Linked DNA regions of Lonchura striata. The main gene of each other region encodes a partner of the protein of the gene in region 2 in a complex. Links are inferred from orthologs where the notes say so. Each region holds a gene or a part of one and is shown on either strand. Other genes may lie near its edges. The genes, in order: FGF23, KL and FGFR3.

What was found.
Region 1: the proteins of KL (region 2) and FGF23 are in contact, whole or in part, in a cryo-EM structure (PDB 7YSH), measured with the Homo sapiens proteins. The link is inferred for Lonchura striata from reciprocal best matches to the Homo sapiens genes KL and FGF23. Residues at the interface, in NP_004786.2 of Homo sapiens: Phe377, Lys385, Leu389, Glu390, Pro392, Trp417, Phe418, Ser420, Lys429, Tyr432, Tyr433, Lys436, Phe437, Arg468, Ser471, Ile472, Arg556, Arg693, Asn694, Met695, Thr696, Tyr697, Ile735, Val752, Phe755, Asp756, Asn782, Asn783, Leu785, Ile812; in NP_065689.1 of Homo sapiens: Leu39, Met74, Ala80, Val88, Arg91, Leu166, Ile167, Phe169, Asn170, Ile173, Arg175, His177, Asp184, Ser185, Glu186, Arg187, Asp188, Pro189, Leu190, Asn191, Val192, Leu193, Lys194, Pro195, Arg196, Ala197, Arg198, Met199, Thr200, Pro201.
Region 3: the proteins of KL (region 2) and FGFR3 are in contact, whole or in part, in a cryo-EM structure (PDB 7YSU), measured with the Homo sapiens proteins. The link is inferred for Lonchura striata from reciprocal best matches to the Homo sapiens genes KL and FGFR3. Residues at the interface, in NP_004786.2 of Homo sapiens: Ser539, Gln540, Phe541, Thr542, Asp543, Asn545, Val546, Tyr547, Leu548, Trp549, Asp550, Val551, Ser554, Lys555, Arg556, Leu557, Val563, Lys566, Arg568, Tyr571, Val573, Ala576, Pro580; in NP_000133.1 of Homo sapiens: Gln286, Leu288, His290, Val291, Val293, Gly299, Thr303, Pro304, Tyr305, Val306, Thr307, Val308, Leu309, Lys310, Glu320, Leu324, Ser325, Leu326, His327, Asn328, Val329, Glu332, Asp333, Thr338, Leu340, Phe347, His349.

The regions. Positions count from the first base shown.
Region 1 is NC_134607.1:483,532-491,451, reverse strand, and holds the start of FGF23 (fibroblast growth factor 23), read left to right. Parts: upstream 1-4,850; coding exon 4,851-5,079; intron 5,080-7,350; coding exon 7,351-7,454; intron 7,455-7,920. UniProt on the Homo sapiens protein: Regulator of phosphate homeostasis. Inhibits renal tubular phosphate transport by reducing SLC34A1 levels. Up-regulates EGR1 expression in the presence of KL. Acts directly on the parathyroid to decrease PTH secretion. Regulator of vitamin-D metabolism.
Region 2 is NC_134604.1:67,245,753-67,252,771, reverse strand, and holds the start of KL (klotho), read left to right. Parts: upstream 1-4,016; coding exon 4,017-4,823; intron 4,824-7,019. UniProt on the Homo sapiens protein: May have weak glycosidase activity towards glucuronylated steroids. However, it lacks essential active site Glu residues at positions 239 and 872, suggesting it may be inactive as a glycosidase in vivo.
Region 3 is NC_134606.1:8,143,061-8,151,142, reverse strand, and holds the start of FGFR3 (fibroblast growth factor receptor 3), read right to left. Parts: upstream 3,008-8,082; 5' UTR 2,932-3,007; intron 2,746-2,931; 5' UTR 2,695-2,745; coding exon 2,517-2,694; intron 1-2,516.

The DNA.
Region 1 (7,920 bases), on a different chromosome or scaffold from region 2:
AGTTTTCCTAAAATAAAACCATCAGCTTGCATTTAGGCACCTTGTAGCATATTACAATAGGAGATGGATGACTGAAATGACTTTCTCGTTGAGGCTGTGTATCTGCGTCCTGAGGATTCCTTTGCACCTGGAAGCAAGCACACCAGGAGAAAAGTGAAAATTTCTCAGACAAGACACAGTGCCTGGGCAGGCAGGTCAGCAGGACTGGGTGTGCACAGGGCAGATTTCAGAATCCAGACAAATTTCAGGCCTTGCAAGCCTTAACACCAAAACAGAACATTTTTCAGCCTTCCAGACCTGAGGGAAGGCTACAGGACAGATGGAGAGAGACTCGTGACAAGGGCCTAGAGTTACAGGACAAGGGAGAGTGGCTTCACACTGACAGAAGTGCAAGGTTAGATGGGATATTAGGAAGAAATTGTTCACTGTGAGGTTGATGAGGCCCTGGCACAGGTTTTCCAAAGAAGCTGTGGCTGCACCAGCCCTGACGGTGTCCAAGGCCAGACTGGATGGGGCTCTGAGCAACCTGGGATAATGGCAGGTGTCCCTGCCCATGGCAGGGAGTTGGAATGAAATTATCTTTAAGATCCCTTCCAAACAGGCCATTCTGTGATTCTATGATTTTTTTTGAAATTGAGGGTATCAGCAGCTATCACCACAAGTTGTACCCGTCCTATCTCCCACAACACCTAAGAAAACTCAGACCCCTTAAAATGACAGAAACACTCTCTGTTCAGAGAACAAAACCTTTTAGGGACTGGTTCTGCTTTGCCTGGGATCTGTGCCAAGGATTTCAGCTGGAGGAGGAATGAGGCCCTTCATTTCAGTTCATTAGAGCAGGCACACTGCAGAAACTGCTGGTACATGCTGCGGTCCTGAACCCAGTGGGCTGTGCTTACCTCATCTTTTTCACGTAGGTGAGCCGAGCCAGGATGTTTTCTTTAGTCGTGGGCAGTGTGACAAGAATGGGGCCTCCAAATAAGGTCACTCAGGATGTGTTTAACAACACCGGGTGAAGTCTGTGGCAAAGACAACTGCACACACACACACACAGAGCATCCACTGTACATTCCCTCGGCTCAGTGCGTCAGTATTCCTAGAATAACTCCTGGAGAGGCACTCCACCCTTGTGCTTCCAGAACTGGGGGTGTGATCATCCCAGAGCCACTCGTAACAGTGATTTTAAGGAGGCAGAGGGACAAGCTCCTAATTTCTGTGACCTTTTTTGAAGAGATACAGTGCAAAGGAAATTATTAAAAGCAGAGGTAGTTTCGAATCTGTCAACCCAAACTCCTGTGTGAGCTGAGCAGCAGAGAGCAAGAGGCTTCCTGAGGCCAGCACGGACACTCAGATGGCACAGAATGCTGCAAAAGGGCAAGCCACCCACCTGTTTACATATAAGTCAATATGCTTTATTAGGCAAGAGTGCTACAGGTGCTCCTACGTGATGAAAGGAACTCCTGCACTGTGAGGGGACGTGTAGTTTTACTCATAGGAGAATCCTGGAAGGCAAATCCATCAGATTGAGCAGAAAACTTTTTTTTTTAACCCGCAAATTTCTGATGGTCCACAAAGCCCTTCCAAAAGATAACTGCACGTCACTTGTAGTAACTTCAATCTGTTGTAAAAAGAGCTTGCCTTTGCCTTGTGAGCTCTCTCCAGAACTGAGGGGATAAGCAGTAAAAGAAAGCAGCACAAGGAATGATATTTAGCTGCTGAGGGCTTTACAGAGTTGAGGTGGTAAGTCTGGACTGCAAAATAACCTAAAGCTGAAACTCAAAGCAGTCAAAATGGGGGAAAGTCAGACCTCAATCTGCTCCTGTGACCCTCAGTTCTTTCTGTGTACCCTTTTGCAGTTAAATGATGATACCAGGAAGGCCTGAGTGTCATCCATGTTCCAGCTGAGGCACCTGGCCCAGGTGAGTGACCAGCATACCTGGCTAAACCTGAGCTGAGCTGCCTCTGGAGCAAGGAGCAGGAGGCAGCAGGAGTAGACCTGGGACAAAGGCATGGCAGGGAGGGAGTGGAGTGAGACCCACTTCCCTGCTATGGGCAGGGACATTTCCCCTTTAGACCAGGTTGCTTAATTATTATCTTAAATAAATTTCATCCTGAAAGCTGGGGTCTGTCTTACCCATCTTCTTTCATCTTTTGCTCTGGAGTGAGGATTTCCTCCCTTTACCTTGGTTCCTGACATTGACAATAGGTGTTATCTCCTCCAGGCTGTGTCCCAGCTCCCTTTCCAGGGTACGTCTAAGGAGGCCCCTGCACCGCTGTGGCACCTGACACTGGCAGTGTAGCACCCCTGCAGTGGGAAGTGGAAAATGTGGCAATGTAAAATGGTTGTGATCTTTAAATTCAATCCCATTTTTTTCCTTTTATTTCTCCCTACAACAAGCAATTTCTGTTAATTATCAGCAATTTCTTAGCTGAGAACTGAGAAAAGCCACCTTGATTCATCAAACACACAGAGCAATATAGAAACATGAAAAATCAATACCAACTCCTGTGGTAAAAGTTGCAGAAATATTGTTATTGCTGATGCATCAGCATAACATGCAAGACAAGAAAGGCTGTCATCACTTCTACTATAACAGACTTGGCTGAAGGAGTAAAGCAGCTTTCATACACCTGGCTACCCCATTGACAGCTGAATGGGTAGAGGATAAGTGAAATAGCCACAGAAGGAATAAATAGATCAGCCTAAAATGAAAAAGACATGGACTGTAAAAAAAACCCAAAAACTCATAACAAACCACATGTAGTGGGCATTTATAGGTTTAAAGCAAAAAAGTCTATGAAAAAGCAGAACTTGTATTATCATTCTCACAAGCAGGGACTTAATAAATTCACTTTAGCCCACCAGATTAGTAAAGTCTGGAGTTTTCCTGATGCTGTAGGAAACTTTAGAAAATGCTAAACAGTTTAAGCTTGTAAAAGTAGCCTTTGCTTGTCTGATTATTATAAAACATGAAACAGATTATCACAACTGGCATGTGCTTAAATGAGGTTCAATAAATTTTTCAAACATCTGAGAATATTTTCTGTGCCACCAAGGCACTGGAGAAAGATCAGATCAGTGCATGCTGGCAAGCACAACAAAATGTCATGGTGAATATGAAACATCAAAACAGGAAAATTACAGTCACAAAAGAAAGATAGAATATTCCAAGAGGGTACAGAGCCTCTGTGAGACACTTCTACAACTGAGGTATCAATATCCACATTTCCATAGGAGTCTAATCAAAGGGGCAAAGAAAAAAACCAGAGCAACCAACCAACCAATCAAAAAACCCAAACATTTCTTCTAGGATCAGAGTGAAAAATATGTGTGGATAATTTTAACAGTAAATAGAGATATTTAATTTAAAAGTAACTCTCCTTTCCTTCTAAGCTACCTTTTAATTTAAAGCATTTTAGATGTTATAACCAGTAAAACATCTGAGGCCTGGATTGTCTTTCAGGGCAACCATCTTTGTCAGCCTGCTCAGTTTAAGATCTGACCCTTATACACTTTGGCTAAAAAGTGCTGTCATTTACACAGGTGAATATACTCTGACGCAAGTCTCTGGATTTACACAGGTGTGGCAGCAGAATTTGGCAGGGTTTTACTAATTTTAAAAAATAAAAAAACTGAAATCAGATCCACTTCTGCAGTGGGTTACAGCTATACCAATCCATTAATCTTATCAATCCATTATATGCTGATGATACAGCTCCACAGCTTGTTCATGAAACAAAGAAGTTTTCATGCTATGTCCAGCTAGAAACTAAAACTGAACCTAACACTGCTACAGTTAAAATCCTCAGGTTTCTTTAAAGAAATATTAATTTATTGTTTGGTACTTCTGTCAAATTTATATTAAATTTTGAAAGGAACCTTAACACAGTCCAGTTTTGGAACTTGTCATTCCTATAATTGATTCACCCATATCCAGTCTCCCATTAGTACAGCATTTTCATGTACTAATTTTCTATTTCATAAATAGAACCATATTTTTTTTTTTTAAATCAGAAAATTTGTTTGTAAAGACCCACAGCATTGGCAGGACACCTGAGAAGCAGGTCTTGAATCTTGGAACATTTTTTACGAACTGCCAGTCAGATGTGCAATGCAGGAGCAAACATCCAGCTTTTAAGTGTTTTACACATTATTTTCAGCTGGTTTTGGACAACTTTAGATTATTTATGTGATTCAGAAGGAAACAGAAGAAATAAAAGGGACTTGAAGTAGGTTCCACTCATATCAAGTTCCCTTCACTTGAATCAAATGATACAAATATCAGCCCAACAGCCTTGGTGTGGAACATGGACCATAATGAAGGGGGAATCAGGCTCAGGACAGCTTAATATTAACTTTTGGTACATTTGCAACAAAATTTTAGCTGCATTTGATGTTTCCAGTAAATCAGAATGCAGCTTGGAAACAGTGAAGGGAGGTGGGAGTCTGAATAAACACATCTGGCAAAAAAGAAAGATAATTCAGGTCCGAAGGGTCATTCCCTTCAGTTCAAGTGCAGTGGATTGCCCTTCCTGGATCCAACAGTAGAGGCGTGGGAAGCTTTCAGATGTCACAGGGTTGTAGATAACATTTGAACATATGATTAGCTTTCGTGAGCTGTCTTTAGAAACCTTACATTTTTCCCCCACACACCTTAGCCAGAGATCCTTCCCTTGAGGTTTCGGGACACTTAAAATGTTGCTTTGCCAAAAATCAAGGATGTGGAGAAGGTTTTCCTGTGTGATGTCATGTTGCTGTCCTTTATAAGCCTCTGCAGAGAAGAAGGGATCCTGTCGGAGGATTCAAACTCCAGGCACGAGGGGAGGTGAGGAGCAGACGCTGACCCACCATGGAGTGGCGAGCCATTCTCCAGGGCATTCCCTGCAGCTCCCTGCTCCTGCTGCTCTGCAGCCTAAAGGCTTCCCTTGCCTTTCCCAACTCCTCTCCACTGCTGAGTCCCAGCTGGGGCAATGGAGACCGCCTGATGCACCTCTACACCGACACCGAGAGGAGCAGCTTCCACCTCCAGATCAACGCTGATGGCTACATTGATGGTGCTCCTCACCAAACCATCTACAGTAAGTGGCTTCCTACAGACCTCCATGGGAGCAGGGGAGGGACAATGAGAATTTTTACTTCCTCACCATCTATAGAAAATCCCTTCTTCTCATTAGGCAGGCAGGCAGAGGAGCACAGCCATGGGATGGAAAATATACATCATTATAATTCTCCTTTTGTTTAACAAATAAAATCACTCTAAAGAAATCTAGTGGATAGGGATTTTCATTCCTTACCTAGGATAACTAAAGTCCTATGGTTCCTATAATATCCTGCAAGGAAAAACCACCTGAATTATCCTTCAGTTCATGATTTTACCCCCAGTTTCTGGTGGAAGTTCCTATTAGAGGTTGGTAATGATATCCTCCAAATAGCTACTTCCCACTGATGGTGATACCAAAGGAATTACATTGAGGGAATTCACCAGAGCAGTGCTGGAAAACTGATGGCATCCATAAAATCTGTATTTTGGGGTGGAGGGCTGAAAACTACTAAAAGTTAAGTTTCAATGTGCAAAGAACACAGGCACGTAAAGATCAATTAAAAAGGGGGAAACTATGAAAGACCAGACTGGCATAAAAGAAGTGTTAAGACTTTGGGGTTCATGAGAAGAAACTATGCCCTGCTATCACTGAAAGGTTTTCAAATTGTGTCTTCACAGTTTATTTTATTATATATTTTATTATTCTATTTCAACAGAGAATAGTTTATTCTTCTTCCTTTGCTAAATGCTTGGCCCAAACTCTTTAGTTAGTAGACAAATGTAGGAGGGGTTTAAGACTTAGGGTACTTTTATAGCATTTCAAAAATACTTATCTCTTAGCATTCAAATCACAAGTAGCTATGCATTATAAAATCAGCTTTTTGTTGTTGTTATTATTCTAATTACTATTATTACTACATTTATTTTACACACTCATTTAAAAATCTAAGTTGTTGTCAAAAATCTTGTTATTATTATCATTAGTATTATTATTACATCTATTTTATACAATCAGCTAAAAATCTAAGCCTAGGTAATGAAGCTTTTACATAAGTAAATAAGGATGTTTTTTAAAATTATAATTTAATTGATGAGGAAAAAGGATCACATTCTGCTATTTTTTTAAGGAATTGATAATGCAACACTCACAGAAATGCTGGCACTGTCTTGTTAATCTTCCTACATATTAAAAGATTTTATACAACTAATTTTAGGTATGTTAGTCAAGAACCAGTGTGGGATTTTAGAGAACAAGAGACAGCAAAATATCACATTTTCCCATATATGCCATGAAACAAGCATAGCAGGATTCAGAATGGTGGAGCAAGAAAAATGAAAATCAGACAACAAAAGGGGTATTGAGAGGGAGGGTGACTGATTTGCTGCCACCGAGCCACCAGACAATGGGGAATGCCAAGTTCTCCAGCAGGGTGGCATGGCCTGAGTGCAATCTCCTGGGTGGGACAAGGCAACAGGCACTGAGTCAAATGCAAGGAGCAGATCAAGCAAAGTTGTTATTTATTCCCACTTTACCTGGCACCAGTAACATTGCTCTTGGAGCACTACAGCAACCCCAGTTCATGTTGCATGAGTAGAAGGTAGGGCTAGTCTGGCACAGGGTTTTCAGGGGGCCTTGATCATGATCTGTTGTGGTTTTAGTCCAGCAAAAAGGATGTTAAGGGCAATGTAATGACAGAATGACAGACTGGTTGAGGGTGAAAGGCACCACAGTGGGTCACCTGGTCCCACCTCCCTGCTCCACCAGAGCCATCCCAGAGCACAGGGCACAGGATTGTGTCCAGATGGTTCTGGAATATCCCCAGGTGTGGAGGAGACTCCACATCCTCTCCAGACAATCTGTTCAGGGCTCAGCCACTGCACAGGACAGAAGTTCTGCCTCCTGTCCAGGTGTTAACTTCCATCTGATTATCTGTTCCTGCCGATTCCTCTGGTGCCACTGCTGAGCACCACTGAAAAGATACCACAGGGCAGTCACAAAAGATGAGGGGGGCAAACAGCCCCTGGATGTGGGCAATGGCAGAACTGAGGGCAATGTTCTCAGACCACGATTTGGGACTTCAGAGGGAAAAAAAGTTGTCTTTAGGAGGTTAGTGCCACATTGGAACAGTGTAACACACTCCATCCTGGGAGTTTTCAAAACCACAGCAAACCTGATTTAGGGTGGGCAACAGTCCCAGGTCATGTGGGAGGTTGGTTTGAATTCCCAAAGGTCATTTCTAGTCAGAGCATCCATGGATCTGTAAATGCAATGTTGAAATGGATTTGATGTTTTTGTTGTTCTGAATAGGTGCCCTAATGATCAAGTCTGAGGGTGCTGGCTCAGTAATAATCACAGGTGTGAAGAGTGGACGCTACCTGTGTATGGACATGAAAGGAAATATATTTGGCTCGGTGAGTGACCTTTCCCAAGTCTTCAGGCTCAATGGCCAGTGCATTCTGTTGCTGTGGTGCCCATTTCCCCAGCCAGGGCAAGCCTGGGTAGCTGCAGGTGGAGGGGGAAGTGTTAGAGAAGATCTGACACTTAGGTCAAATTTTACTCTCTCCTTTGATTGTATTAAGTAGTAGAGCTGACAAAATCATCTGAGGTCCTGCCTGGGTTAATGAGCAAAAAAAAACCAAAACAAAACAAAACCACAATAAAACATAAAAACCCACAACAAAAACAACAGCAAAACCCCCTACTTTTCCGTATTACAGAAATGAGATCCAGTGAGGTACCAATCTGTAGCACAGAGCCATGGGTAGGGACCCTCAGGGAGAAAACAGGGTTTATCATTAAAATTCCTTTGCTGAAAGCATGGACTTGCAACTCTGATCTACATTTGGATCACACATGGACCTGGGAGATTAGAAAAAC
Region 2 (7,019 bases):
GAAGCCTGTGTTTCATGAGCTGTATGGCTGGACTTGACAAGGGGCATTCCTGTCCTTTCTCTTCTCCCTCAGCTCTGAACTCCTCTTGTCAGACAAATCCATGTCTCCTGCCCAGGACTGGAAGAGCAAGGCTGTACTCACTTCTTCAATACCCCTCTTCTTAGGAGAGAGGTAACTTCTTTTCCTTTCATCTGTGCCCATCCCTTCTTTTACCCATGCATCGACGCACTAGAGTGCCCATGATTCAGAATAAGCCATTGGAGTGGACTTGAGAGTGACTTGGTACTTAGAGATAGAGGAGAATTTGACATCTTCCCAAGCATTCCACAGCATTGCATTTATTTCATCAGCAAGTTTATTTTGAACCTGACAACACACTAATTTCTAATTTCAAAACAATGAAATGTCCCTAAGGTAATTCTGAATGTACAGTAAATGCATTTAAGTAGTGTGATCATGTGAGAAAGAAGGAACAGGTATGGAAGGCTGCACTTTTTCAAGGAAACTGGACTTGCAAAAGAAAGAACTTATTTGCCTTGTAGTCTGTGGTGTTCGGGCAGGGATGAAGAAGGTAAATCTAGAATGCTGTTGGACATCTTTCTAGTGGAAACAGCTATTGATGAGGAAGTGGAAGTAAAATTTCACAGCTTAGCAGTTTGCATTTAACAGACAGAACACAGAAGTAGTACTGTTATGCAGCGATGTCAGAAGCAGAGAAAACACTCAAATCTAAATCAGGTGGTGATTTTTTTAAGCAGTTTTTCCAAGTGTTAGCAAATACTTTTGTGTCCCGAGAGGAAATGCTGAGACTGCAAAATCTATTACATAAGGCCATTTTCACATGGCTGTATGGCTGTATGCATTTGGAAGTATGTTTGTGAACAGAGAAGGAGCATTAAAACAGGAGATGGTAGTTTTAGGCACTGAGATCACTTGTTCCATCACAAATGCTACTGGTATATGGCTTCTAGCTCTTCTCTGGAGATCTTAAAATGATAAAGGGGTTTTCTGCATTGAAGCATGGTATTACCTCAGGGGAAGCTGTTAAATGAATCTAAAGCAGTAATAGAGTTATTTTACCTAAAATTAAGTATCCCAGAAGATCCATCCCCTTTGGGATATAAACAGAACTGCTCAGTCAGAACACTGTCAAGTTTGATTGCATGCACTGACTCTATACCGAGCAAAGAAAATCTCAGCACAGCCTGAAGGAAGATTATAATGACACAATACTATACATTATACATATTATCAAAAGTTGAATGTTCAGTAATCACCAATACAAAGAGGCTGAAAATCAAATCCTGATCTGCTTACCTGGGGCAGGACTGAAAGCATGCTTGCTCAGCAACATGGACGAAATGGAGCCACACTTTGAACTCAAGGAGTAACGAGGGAGACCTGAATGTCTGCAAGTGTTTGGCTGACCTTTCTGCATGGTTAATATTGCACAGAGTTTTTTAGGCTGTCTGCTAGGAAAAAAAAAAAATTGGCTCAAAGCAGTTGGTAATTGTATTGTTGTCCTAAGACAAGAAAACAAGCTTTCTAAGAATAAAACCAAAAACAACACATGGAACTAGAGGCCACACCGCACATTTTCTGTTATTTACCCTCCCCCCCCCCCACACACACACAGACACACACACAGACACACACACAGACACACACACAAAAAAAAAAAAAAAAAAAAAGCTTTCATCTGTCAGACATGCAGGTAAAGTCAAAGTTGAAGGGACAGCTTCATGCCAATGGTTTATGGTGAGATTTTGTCCCTCAAAAATGGGCTTCTTGCTTCGGGAGTACACTCCACTGTATTTTGACAATTTTTGGATAATGTAGCCATTCTCAGATGTTTCAGAAGTTCTCTAGACTGACTTAGAGTAACACCAACAAATAATTTCTTTGCCTTGACTGTTGACAGGCTCTGGAAGAAACAAGTGAAGGAGCTTTAGTTCAGTCTCTACTTATTGGTTCTTGCAAAGTACAAATAGGATTGATCTAGGTTTTAGTTAATAATTAGCACATGAAGAAAGAATATACTATATGTATTTCAAAATCTCTTGTGTCCCTAGATACTCAATATTTTTTTCCTTAAATATTACCAATAGACTTACCATCACTAATATCTTTATTTAGGTATTGGTGTTTCTGACACATGCCTGTGCATTCCTATTTTTAAAATACTTTGTCAGCAAAATCCAGTGAAGACATTATGCTTCCCTTGAAATCAGGTCTGCAGCTGAACAGGAGCCACTCCTTGCACAGGGACAATTGCAGCAATGCCCCAGTACACTTAACAATCTCCAGTTTCTGCAAGTAACTAGCAGCTGATGCCAACAATCTTTTTCTGTTGTTGTATCTGAAGTTGTCATGTACTCAGACTGTAATTGAATTTCAGCACCTTCTCAGACTGTATTCCAAACTCACTCCTGGAAACCAATGTCCAGCCTTGGTTCTGGGCCTGCCACCTCCTGTTCCTGCTTTACAAACTTTCTCCTTTAGGGAAGGGTTGTTGATGGTCCCCTGAACTGTTGAGACCTCCATCCCCCTAACATGGCAATTAATAATAATTGCCACAATGGAAGACTAATTCCAATTCTGTCTCCTACATCTTTGTTCTCTTTAAAAACAGCACAAATCAATCCCTAAAACTGATCTGGATCAGTGCAGAAAATATGGAAGTTGGAGGTTATAGAAACGGGCACGGGCAGGGCAATTGCCCTGCCTGAATTTGGGAGAGGTGAGAGCCCATCCTGTGCACAAAAAGAAACCTTCATTAGTTCACAACTAGCATTTAAATCCATTGACTCATTATCAGCAATTATCTGTAATTTTTCCCTGGGGAAGTTTATTTTCTAAAAATAAAATTAAATTACCTAAAGGCCTTCATTCAGCCTTATCTCCTGGGAACATGTCTCTGTGCTTAACAGCCTGTCTAGTAGATGTATTCTATTCTTAGGTGTCCCAAATCCTGTTAAGAGTTCACACCACTGAATACCAGGTTCTGCAAGGTGTTGGGGTGTTTCTGGCTTCGCCCTTGCGGCAGCTCTCCCCGATGGTTAAATGGTTCTGTCCACAAGAGACGCAAAGGGCAGTTTGAGACCTGCCTTTACAGAGCAGTCTGTGCCTCACGCCTGCTCAGTTGGTTACTAAACGTAACTCAGTAATCAAACTTAACTCGATTTGTTTTCTCTCCGTAAAGATCCGTGAGGCATTTCTAACTGGAACTTGTTTTTTGTGCAGCAAGCAACCAAATATACCAACCTCCTACTCCAGGAAACAAAAGAGTTGTTACTGGGAGGTGACAACCCATGAATTCCCGGGAAGCAGGCGGGGAGGAGTGAGCGTATGATGTCCTTGGACAACGAGTTCTCTGCAACTGCTGCTACATGAGAGATCCCAGGTGCGATGTGTCTTGCTAAATTACCACGACGGAAACACTGAGGGAAGGGAAAAGCGTTTTTATTTCCTCGCCTTTCCCACAGCCGAGCCCCGGGACCGCTCCCCCTGTCTCGGTCGGGCGCAGGGGCGCTGCCCCACGGACCCCCCGACGGCGGCACTGCAGCGGGGCACGGGAGGGGCTACGCTCATCCCCTCAGAGCGGACGGATCCGGCCGTCGAGTCTCCGCGGGCCCTTCCGACGGGAAGACAGTCGGCAGGGCAGCGGCGAGGGTCCCGCTTCCGAGGGGACAATGTAGTCGCAGCGAGGTGCGGGCAGCCGGCGGGGCGGGCGAAGGGCTGCGGCACCCCGCCTGCAGCCCGCGGACCGGGATCTTTCCCTTTGAGGGGCCGGGGTACCCACGGGCACCCAGGGGCGACAGGGATCTCCCCGAGGAGCCCACGCCCCGCTTCCCCCCTTTCCTCCCCGCCCGCCCCGTCTCACGCCCCGGCTCCCGCCCCCGGCGGCAGCTCTCCCCGATGGAACCGGCTGGGAATGATGCAGGCGGCAGCTCCGAGGTAATTATTAATGGCCGTGCCCATCAGGGCGGGAAGGCGGGGGCGCAAGGTGAGATAAAATGGGGCAGCGGGGAGCTGGGAGGCGGGAGCTGCCGTCGCGGAGCCCCGCCGGGAGCATGGCCCTCGCCGCGTCGCTGCTGCCACTGCTGCTGCTGCTGCTGTTGTGGCGGCCGGGGCTGGCGGCGCCGGGGCAGGGTGCGGGCACCTGGTCCCGTTTCGCCCGGCTGCCCTACCCGCAGGACCAGCTCTTCCTCCACGACACCTTCCCCGACGGCTTCCTCTGGGGCGCGGGCAGCGCCGCCTACCAGACGGAGGGCGGCTGGCGACAGGGCGGCAAGGGCGCGTCCGTCTGGGACACCTTCGTTCACCGCCCGGCCACGCCGCCGGGGGCCGCCCCGCCGGGGCCCCTGGGCGGCGACGTGGCCAGCGACAGCTACAACAACCTGTTCCGCGACGTCGAGGGGCTGCGGCGCCTGGGGGTCTCGCACTACCGCTTCTCGCTGTCCTGGGCCCGGCTGCTGCCCAACGGGACGGCGCCGCCCAACCCCGCCGGGCTGGCGCACTACGGGCGGCTGCTGGCCCGCCTGCGGGAGCTGGGCGTCGAGCCCGTGGTCACCCTCTACCACTGGGACCTGCCGCAGGCCCTGCAGGACTCCCTCGGCGGCTGGGCCAGCCCCGTCCTGCCCCGGCTCTTCCGCGACTACGCCGAGCTGTGCTTCAGGCACTTCGGCGGGCAGGTGCGCTACTGGCTGACCATGGACAACCCCTACGTGGTGGCCTGGCACGGCTACGGCACGGGGCGGCTGCCGCCCGGCGTTCGGGGGGGCCCGCGCCTGGGCTACCTGGCGGCCCACCACCTGCTGCAGGTAAACGCGGCTCCCCGCTCAGCCCGCCCCACCGGCACTCCGGTGCGCTGGTCCCACACCGGTATGGAACACAAGTCAGCACATCTATGGGCAAAGGAGGCAAAACTCGGTGTAAGGCAGGAGCTTTGCGACTGAGCTGGTGGAGTTAAAGAACTCTGTTTTGCGGTAGTGTCCGCTTCTGCCCGCAGCAGTTCAGTTGCTATTCTGCATGAGTGAGGGTCTGCAGTCCCTGGACTGTGCCACTCCAGTGCTGCCTTTCTTAAGCTGGAAATGCTTAATATGACTGTAAAGAGAGTTTGTGTATTTGATAGAAAAGGCTTACTGAATTATTGGAGATGGTAGAAGTGGCCAATATGTCGTACAGAGACATTTTCTTGACAAAGTATGATGTTTTTTTGAGTGTGAGCACTTTTTGAGGAAAGAGACCCACAATTCCCCAATTAGTCTTGTAAGTGGCACGAGTAGTTCTATATACTTCATTTTTTTCTGTGTACTATTATGTAATTGTGGTATTTGCTGGGAGCAACCCATGCGGATTTTCTGAGTTAAGCAGAAGTGTGTATGTATCCTTCCAATGACAGGAGAAGGGATTCCTAACTGGAATGGGGTGGTCATTTAGGCATGATCTCTTGTACTTCAATATACATTTACATTTCTGCTAATACTTGTCAGCTCAGCACACACATTCTGGCAGGAGTTATATCCTAATAAGCATTGTGCATTAGATGTAGGCTTGAAGAAAACTTCCAACACATGCCTTATTTGACTTTTTTCCACTTTCCTGTATTATTTCTGCATTCTTTAATGTTACAAATAAGTCAAAGGGAAAATAGAGATGGAGAAAATGTGGGTAGAATTTCAGGTTAATTTCCTCGTCCTGAAAACTTTAAGCTCTTTATGTAGTTACCATGGTCGTACTTGGCCATGTTTCATTCTTGAGTATATCCTGCATCACCATAGTATCAGAGTCCCTCATAATCTCAAGCATGTGGTTCTTCTCATAAAAGCTCTGTGAAGAAAGATACTTTTCTATGTAATAATTAGAAATTGAGCCACAGTCTTGGCCAAGCCATGTCAAAAGTGTAATTAAACCAGGAAAGTCTACCAATGCTTGCTTTAGTGACGGAACCGTAGTATTTAGTTTTGTCCCAGTGGCTGTCAGTCAGGGTTTGCACATCAGTGAACATTTCTTTTTATGTACAGTGGAAGGCAGCAAGATACCACTTTTCCCCCCACATTTTATGAAAGAGGAGCTGAAACACAGATTCACTTAAGAGCCAAAGTGGTCACTAGTTGTCAGTGTCCTTTTTCTGGTGTGTGATCTTTGTAGATTATTGGTCAGTTACATTATACTTCCAGCTCTTCTACAAGTCATATCCTCAAATCGCAAATCGCCTGCAGAGAAAATGAGAGACATACATTATGTGCAGAGGAGCTCACATCCCTGATTTCCCCAGGTAAGAGTCTTCATGGAGGCAGAGGTAGAGCCTAGTTCTTCAGCACAGAGAAGTGAACAGCTTTCATCTGTTTCTCCTTCTCCTTTTTACTTCTCTGTAGCATATTAATATTAGATCTTTTAACTTGTGCAAGCAGTGAAATAGGAGGAAGCTATATTGTATGGCTTCCACAGCCTAATATCCATAGAAAAAGTATGTGAGTTTGTGTAAGAAAAGATTAAAGTTCTACCATAGATGGTAAAGAGAGAATTGCATTTCACGTGGAAATTAAATTGTCTTGCACAGGTCTAGAGTATTGACCTTGAAACTTGAATGTTGTTCTTTAATATGTGTCTATGGGTTGTATAATTTTGTAGGCGAGTTTGGGCATTTTTTTGGGAGTGTGCGCATCTTTGGTTTGTATCAGAAGGGTGCACAGCAACACTGCTTTATCACTTGAGCTGCAGCATGTGTTCAGCGCTGGACAGTGTTGCTGGGAGATACAGTCCTCTTAGACCCACTGCAAAAGATGTGGCTGAATCCTCTCATGCAAAGAAACCCCCTTTCATCGTCTAACCTTTTGCTCCCTATATCATAAGAGGTGATCCCTGGTTTCTTCTTAATCCTTTTTCCTTCTCTTTGCCATTCTTGTATTTTATTTTTCTCCAGGGAAATTGAATTTGTAGAACATGTTTGGTCTTTTTTGAAGTTAGAATTTGTTATCATAATCGTTTCTCAGCAAATGTACAGACTAGGTCTT
Region 3 (8,082 bases), on a different chromosome or scaffold from region 2:
TCTGAATACTAATGCAAATTGGACGGGCTTTTTTATATTGATGTCTATTCTGTGGCTGCTGAATAGAGTGACCGCATGCTCAAGGCTGCAAAGGAGTTCACTGACCTCCCTAATCATCTCTGTCATAGCCCCTGAATGACATACACATTCAATCCTGCCTCGCCTCTCTTACTTTCATTCATAAAAAAAAAAAAAAAAAAAAAAAAGAGGGAGGGGGAAAATTTGACATTGTTCTTCCTACAGCAGCTCCGAGAACGGGAGAGAAGAGAAACTCAGCCCAGATGAGGCCCCTGGTGTTTTTAGTTTAGCTTCTATTCAGCAACAGCCCCGCCATCTGCCTCCTTCCTGCCAACAGCCGAACACCTCCCTGCGGAGATGTTAAAACCTGCACCCCCTCCACCTCCGCTAATAGCCAGTATTCATATTAGCAAACATACACATACCTCGAGAATGCCTCCCTTCAATGTGTGTTTTATGTAGCTGAGTATAGGCACAAAGCAGTAGCTGTTATAGCCTTCACAGCCCCGTGCGGAGAATTAGATCACTGGGGAAAAATCCTTCCAAGCCCCTTTATGGAAAATAAGGCCTTAGACTGTAAATGCAAAGCCCAGCGAACAACAACCCTCAGTAATGAGCCAATACCCCATGGCCCATTTGACTAGGAGAAAGAATTTGCTTTTTACCATTCAATTCAAAAAGACTGAAAAAGTAAAATGTGTTTTTACTCGGCTCTGAAGGTTTATATTCTTTACAGTTTCTTTTGCACAACCTTTCCCCCCCAGGTCGGACAGGCAGCGGGTGCCCTGACCGTGGCAGAGCCGCTGGCTCTGGCACAGAGCTGGGGAAGCAGCAGTGGCTTCACGCGTCCCCACGCACGTGGAAGAGGTGGCACAGCCACTGGCACTGAAAAGCTCTGTCTCCCCTCATACTTCCCATCCACACGAGTTTTCAATAGCTCACAGTGACAGGGCAAGACGTTGCTAGGGGTTGGGGTTGACGGGAACCCTCCTGGTTTCCTGAATCCCATTCCAGGGCGCAGAGCAAGAGTTGACAGTGACATCTTTCATTTAGAGAATGCTGACCAAGAGATAACAGAGACTGTCCCGAGGATTTCCACGGGAGGCCCTGGAAACCCCAACCCATCACTCACTTCACAGACATCACTGGAAGGATGATTCCCTCTGTGTGACCTCCGAGTATGCCACTTGCTACGATTCCAACAGGATCCCAAAGCTTTAACTTGCCAAAGTATCGTAGAGCACGGGAGGGGTTTAGCACCACTTAACACATCGTCGACCCCAGCTAAGGGCTGAATGAAAGAAGCCCAGGGACCACTGAGGCAGCCACCGAGGTTGCTGCTCACCCCCACGGGATCGACTGTGTCTGAAAAGTGACAGCACCAACACGGACCTCAGGCTAAGCCAGAGAGAACTGGGGACACTTCGCTTCTGTCACTCGCAGCCCTGTGGCCAGCACAGGCTGCTCGCCGCCCTCCGCACACCGACCTCATCTGCTCTGACCAAGTCCCTGCCATGTTGCCCCATAAATCAATTCTTTTGGCTGTGAAAAATGAGCCAAACGAGTTACACTAAGAATCTGGTGTTTTATTAGGACTTTCTTAAAAACAAACCCAACCCCCTGTGTGATTTATAGCTTTAACCAAAAGGGGTATGAAAGTAATGCCCCCTACCCCCCAGCCTCCACGAAGTCCATTTATTCCCCTGTCACTTTTTTGGCAAACAGGCTTCGAACCCTTTCCTGAACAATGGAAACTTTCTGCCGGGTACATGCAAACCGGAGGACAGGGGGCTGCGAAGGGGCTCCCTTCCATTAAAGAGCTTTGAAAAATAAACAGGGACTCAGGTAGCAGCTGAGGCGGATCACAGAGACACGATGCTTCAAACCCGCCGTATATTACTTGGAAAGAAAAAAGCAAAGCCCAGCTTTTGCCCGACGTGTTAACTTTTTTTCACTTGCAACTGCAGTGCTGCCACTCCAGGGGAGATCCTCGCCGGCTCTCCCGAAACGCACTTCCCTTCTCAGCACGGCCGCTCATTCAGCTGCAACCCAGCCTGTGCCTACCCGGAGCTGTGGCAACACCCCTTTTGCTCCCAAGATGAGGACATAAATGACCTTTCCTTACTTTTCCCACCCGAACACACGCAGTCAGAGCATTCCCGATGTGTGCCGAAGATGCGCTGCTACACACGCACGCAAGCATCTTCCCAGCTGTTACCCACGGAGCGCCCCATGCACCGCCTGGCTGAGAGAACTCCTGGCAGACAGGGATCCTCTTAAAAGCACTTTGTCCCTTCTGGGCGGCTTTCAGACTACCCCGATCCACGGCGAGGTGGAACCGCCCCGGGCCCGCGTTCGTAACTCCCGCTCCGCCGCCGCCTCCAGCGGCCTCCATCCACCCGCCCCGCTCCGCTCGCTCCCGGACGGGGACTCGTAGCGCCGAACCCGGCCGGGCCGTCCCCGCAGAGCACGTGTGTGCGCGGCCGCGCAGCCCTTACCTGCCGGCTGCCCGCCGCTCCTCGCCGCCGCCGCCTTGCCGCCGCCCCGCCTTGCCGCCGGCATCCCGCCGACGGCCGCCGCCAGGCACAGGCACCAGACGGAGCCCCAGGCCGCCCGCATGCCTCCGGAGCGGCGCCGGGGCAGCGCGGCCGCCGCCGCACCGCCCGCCTCAGACATCCCCCGGCCGCCGCATGCTGCCGCCGCTCACCGCTCCGCTCCGCCGCCGCGCTGCCGGGAGAGGAGAGAGGCGCTCAGCGCGGGGAGGAGGACGAGAAAACCCCCCGCCCCTAGTGCCCACACAGAGGAGGAACAGGAAAAATAATAGTAAAAAGGCGGAAAAAAAAGCGGTGGGAGCAGTAAAAAAGTGCAGGGGGCCGGGCGAAGCCGTGCGCCGAGCGGCGGCGGGGCGCCTACCTGCGCAAGCCCCGCGGCCGGCCGCGCACCGCGCATCGAGGGAGGGAGGCAGGGAGCGAGCGCCCGCAGGAGCCGCCGCTGCCGCCCGCCCGCCGCCGCGGCGCTCCTGCGTCTGCTCCCAGCGCAGCGGGCGCGGAGCGGGGCGGCCGCGCTGTCCCCGCCCGCCGGGCCGGACCGCCCGCCCCGCCCCGCCCCGCCCCGCCGCCGCCGCCGCGGGGGGCCGCGCCCGCCCCGCGCCGCTCCGCGCCCGGCCCCGCGGCTGCGCGGGGGGGCGGCCGGAGCCGCGCGGGGCTGCGCCCGCCGAGCCCTCGGGGCGGAGCGGCACCGCTTCCCACAGACGTGAGACTGAAGTTGGCGCGGTGCTCCCATGCTGGATCCCGCGGCGGTCACCGCGCGTCCCCTTCTCCTGGCCCTGGAACAGCGCGTTTTCTGAAGAGGCGGCGGGAAGGGGGATGCGTGGGATGGGGACAGCTCTGTGCGTGCAGCAGTTCGGCTCAGCCTGGCACCTGAGCAGCAGATGGCCCATGCACCCATTTCCCCTCCATGGCTGCCACTCCGTACCCCGAAGTGAAGCCACCCGCTTCGAGCCCCCTGACTTCACTCCCCCACACCCATAATCGCTGTGATACGTGTATGGGAATCATGACAGGCTCCACGGCTCTCTGCGTGTCTCCTCTGCCAACTGAAGTAGCTGTTTTAATAAAGTCTGACTAGATGGATCTAGTCACATTTACAGTCACCACTGCAATGATCTAGTCACTATCACAGTTATAGTTCGGGTTTTTGTGGTCATCTCAGAGACCCCCGACACGGCCGAGCTGCTGAAGCGACACGCATCACTTACTGCTGACAGCGAGCTGATCTGCCTCATACAGAGAAGTCACAGCTCTACTTTAATCCCACTTGACACAGCAGCTCGTTCGCTGAAAATAGACGCAGATATTATCAGAGCTGAAAATGCCCTGCAGAAGGGGCCCAAAAAACCCAACCTGCGCTAGAGTCAAGGGGAGTTTTTCTGGGTGAGAGGAAAGGCGGGCGGTGCGGAGCTTTGGCTTGCAGCGAGGGGAGCGGCGGCGATCGCTCCTGGCCGCCGCGGGGGGCTCGGCGTTCGCGCTGTCGTCGCCGCAGCCGGGATCTCTCTTGACACCTTTATCAGGCACAGAGACTCTGACATCTCAATACTGTGGCATTGTGTGGGGAAGCATTGAAAGGGGCTGCGGCGAGGAAATCCTACATGTCAGTGGAGACCCTCGCCAGTGACACTGTCGGTTTTAAATTAAAACAACGGAGGGAGAAGCAGACATATAAATAAAATGTGCTTATTTCACCGTCACAGAGAAGGTTTGGCAGTACGTCAAGCTGTACAATGTTTGCTGTCATAACTGCTGTGCTGGAGGTGCCAGAAAATCACAAAAAATTAAAACAACAGCAGCATAATTATAACACTGCACAAGGAGTTGTTGGCGTCATTACTTTGAAGGCAAAATTGCAAAAGCAGGGCCAAATTCTGCTCTCAAGTAAAGCCATCAGGGTAGGATTGTTGTTGTAGCGTTATTTTTCCTATTGCTGTTAGTATTGTTACTATTACTACCTCAATTTTCCAAGAGGAGAGCAGCAAAGGAGGACCAGGAGCTTTCCTAAGTTTGCAGAAAAAAATAAAAACGTCGGTGAGAATTCAGTGAGGTTTTTCACACTGTAGCTGAGTTTTAAAAGTGCCACAGTGATTGTTGCTTTCTGTCAGGCAAGGGTAAAAACTCTCATGCTGCTCCAGGAGTAACAGGATGGAAACAGCAAATCTGAACCCAGAGAGTTTTAAGGTTACTGGGAGATGTGAAGGTCTGCACCGTGTATCAAGTTAGCTCAGCCCTTTAATGATTTTGAACTGGTTTTCATTTGGAAAAAAAACCAAGAGCTTATAACATTTGGAAGCTCTTTACAACAGGAAATCAAATGGGCATTAAGATAGTCCTGTATGAAGAACTTCAAGGTTTGCAGTTTTCCCTACAGCAGGATATTTTTAGTTTTCCTATTTATTAACCATGCGGAACATTCATGTGGTGTTGGGGAGCACAGACCCGATTAAGTACAGATTTTTTTGATGCTGCTTTGTCACAGTGGTGGCCACTGTAAGAGAGCCCAGGATGTAGTGCTGTGCAGCAAAAACTGCAGCTCTGGACTGTGTCTCAGCCACTCTCTTACTATAAAAAAAAAAAAAAAATCCATGTACATAGGCTAGTAAAGCCTGCACAACACAGTTGCATTTATTTCAGCACTGTTATGCCATAAGCCATATATTAGCCCCAAAGTTTTTCTTCCCCCTCAGGCTAGGAGCATATGCACTCCCCTCCATGCAGGGATACTTTCTCTGCCAACATGTTTGTTCTCCTTTTACCCTTTATAAGAATTCCCTTCCCAGACCTTTATATTTGTTTATCCCTTTAATATCTAAAGCTGCCTGTGATGAAAATCAAGCCCCTTTCAGCAGCTCAGGGATGGTGAGTGGTAGCCCTTTTTTGAGTGAGTGGCTTCAAGCCTGTCACTGTCACACACCTCCATCTGCCCAGACCCCACTGGGGGCTCAGCCACGGAGACTGGATGCCCTGGGACAGTTTTTGCAGAGCCTTGCAGGCCCTGGGGGCATTTGCATGGCTAAGCCCCCTCCCTCCCTTCATGCCTCTCCAAAGCCCTACCTTAGAGGGAGGCTGCTAATCTCTCTCTATTAAAGTGCAACCTGTTGATAGTCTCAAATTAAGTTACATGAAGGGTTCTGTCAAAAAAAGGGGACCAAAATTGGCTCCAGGTGTGAATGCTTTAAGCAGTCCCTTCTGCCTCTCTGTCTATGAGATGGGGACAGGACGGGCTGTCAGATGCTTGTCCCAAAGCCCTCAGGACTGAGGCTCTGGAGAAGCATGGAGAGAGGCTTTATTCATGCCAATGTCAGCCTTGATGACATTGCTGTCAGAAAGCCTGTGATCACTTCCCTTCTCCTGCAGCCCACCTCGTGCACTGTGCAAAGCTCTCCCCTGCACATCTGAGCTGCCAGATGTAGCATGGCAGCCAGAAGGCTCAGGCACCAGTGCTGCCCTCAACAAGGATCTTGCAAAAATTGCCCCCATACATCTGATACTCACAGGAGCTGCTTCCTTAGCCAGCAGAAAGCAATCCCTGAATCAATACTGAGTTAGAACAGAGCACTGAAGTAGGTGAAGCTTTAATTCAAATTTTAATATGCTGGCAAGTTTGATCAGAGTCTCAGTCACTTAAGCTGCTGAATCATATCAGGTTAGGTACACACAATAAATATTCCCAAATATTTCTTATCAAAACTGGGTCTTGTTAGCTGACTTGTGAGCCAGACTGGGTGTTGTGGCCTCACAATGCTGTAACACGCTGTTCCTTCAGCCCAGCCGAATGCTACAAGTTCACACAGAACTGAATTGAAATATTGGTTCAGAGATCAGTATCAGTGTGCATGACTAGAATCCAAGCTGTTCACCCTTAACCTTCAAGGGTTAAATAGCATCAGTGGATGCCAGCACTGGGGTACATTTTCCAGAGCTCATGTCACTACCCATTTATATCAATAAGGTGCATTGGAACGGCTAAACCGCTTTTTATTAGCTAGCCAGCCCTTAGAACTGCACTTCCAGGCTGGTTTATTGAATTTCAAGCTCGAAAGTCATTGTTGCTAAGATTAAGGTTCCAAATGATTGTCAGGGTAAACACTGTGAACAGACAAACACCTTGTGAAGGATCTCTCTGTGCCTGCACCCTCTGTGAGCTGGTTGCAACAAAATCTTATCCTGCTGGATTTGTTTCCCACTGAACAGCATGGAACAGACAAGGAATAAGGGGAAGGAGTGAGTTGTTTTATCTGAGGTGAAATAAGAAGGAACAAGTGAACTGGAGCTGCATGCTGGATCTATTCTGCAAGAGCTTTGTATGGGAGGTGCTGGCAGAGGTAAAATAATTTGTCAGCCTGGAAAGCAAAGCAGGCAATTGGAGAAAGTTGAGAAAAAACAAAACAAAACAAAACAAAACAAAACAAAACAAAACAAAACAAAAACAAAACAAAACAAAAACAAAAACAAAAACAAAAACAAAAACAAAAACAAAAACAAAAACAAAAACAAATAACTGGAGCAAGCCTGTGGAGGGTTTGAGAAGCAGGGATTTAAAATCAGACCTTGAAATAATGCTGACTCAGCACAGCAGCTGTGTGTGTGCAGCCAGGGCACTGCACCAGGGTCACAAGTGCTCTCAGAGGTGTCACTGACCACCTGCACGAGCTGGGTGTTGCCTGTCCTTGGAGCAAACCCTGGCAGCGTGCTGGAGCCTGGAGGGGATGAGACAGAGATCACTGCTGCCTGCCAGACCTCTTCATGCCATGGGCACATAGGATATTTCAGGCAAATGTGTGTGCAGCAGGATTGCCCTTGGGGTGTAGCAGGGCACCTCACTTTGAGGGGCATTTGCAATGAAGCCTTAGCCTGTTTAATCCCTGAGCAGACTGTGCAGGCTGATGCCTGTAAGGAGAAATCACACACTGCCAAGATGAGCTTCTGGGAGTCCAACAGCTGCCTTTGAAGTCTTCTCTCCTGGATGTGGCCAGAGACCACCAAAGGGCACCAGCTGCCCATCCACCCTGACTGCTCACCTGCAGCAGGGGTTACAGAAATTTCCCTTTTCTGCAGCCCTTTAGAGCTCACACACATTGCACTCTACCCCAGGTCCTGGCCCCACTGTATTATTGTCTGGTGGCTCTCCTTTCTCCAGGGGTTTTCACCTCTTCTGCCCCACTCCAAGGTAGGGAAAGGGATGAGTAGTGAGTGGCATGGGAACTTTCAGAACAAGCAGTAACATCCTAAAATAAATACAAGTTCAGGTTTTCCGTCTATAAAGGACAGCAGAATTATGGTCAATATTAGTTATTATTGTTATGACTTTTAGGCAAGCTCTTTCTCAGTGTAAGATTGACTTACCTGGGAGGAAGCTCAAATTCAGTCATGCTCAATTCTACTTTAATACAGCCTGTATGCTCCCTCAAGCCAGTGCTGACACAGTGTTGTGTCTGATACCAACCCAGCCACATCTAGAGGCTGTCTTCTTGCAATTCCCATGGTAGTTTTATTTTTCCAAAGGGCATGGTGC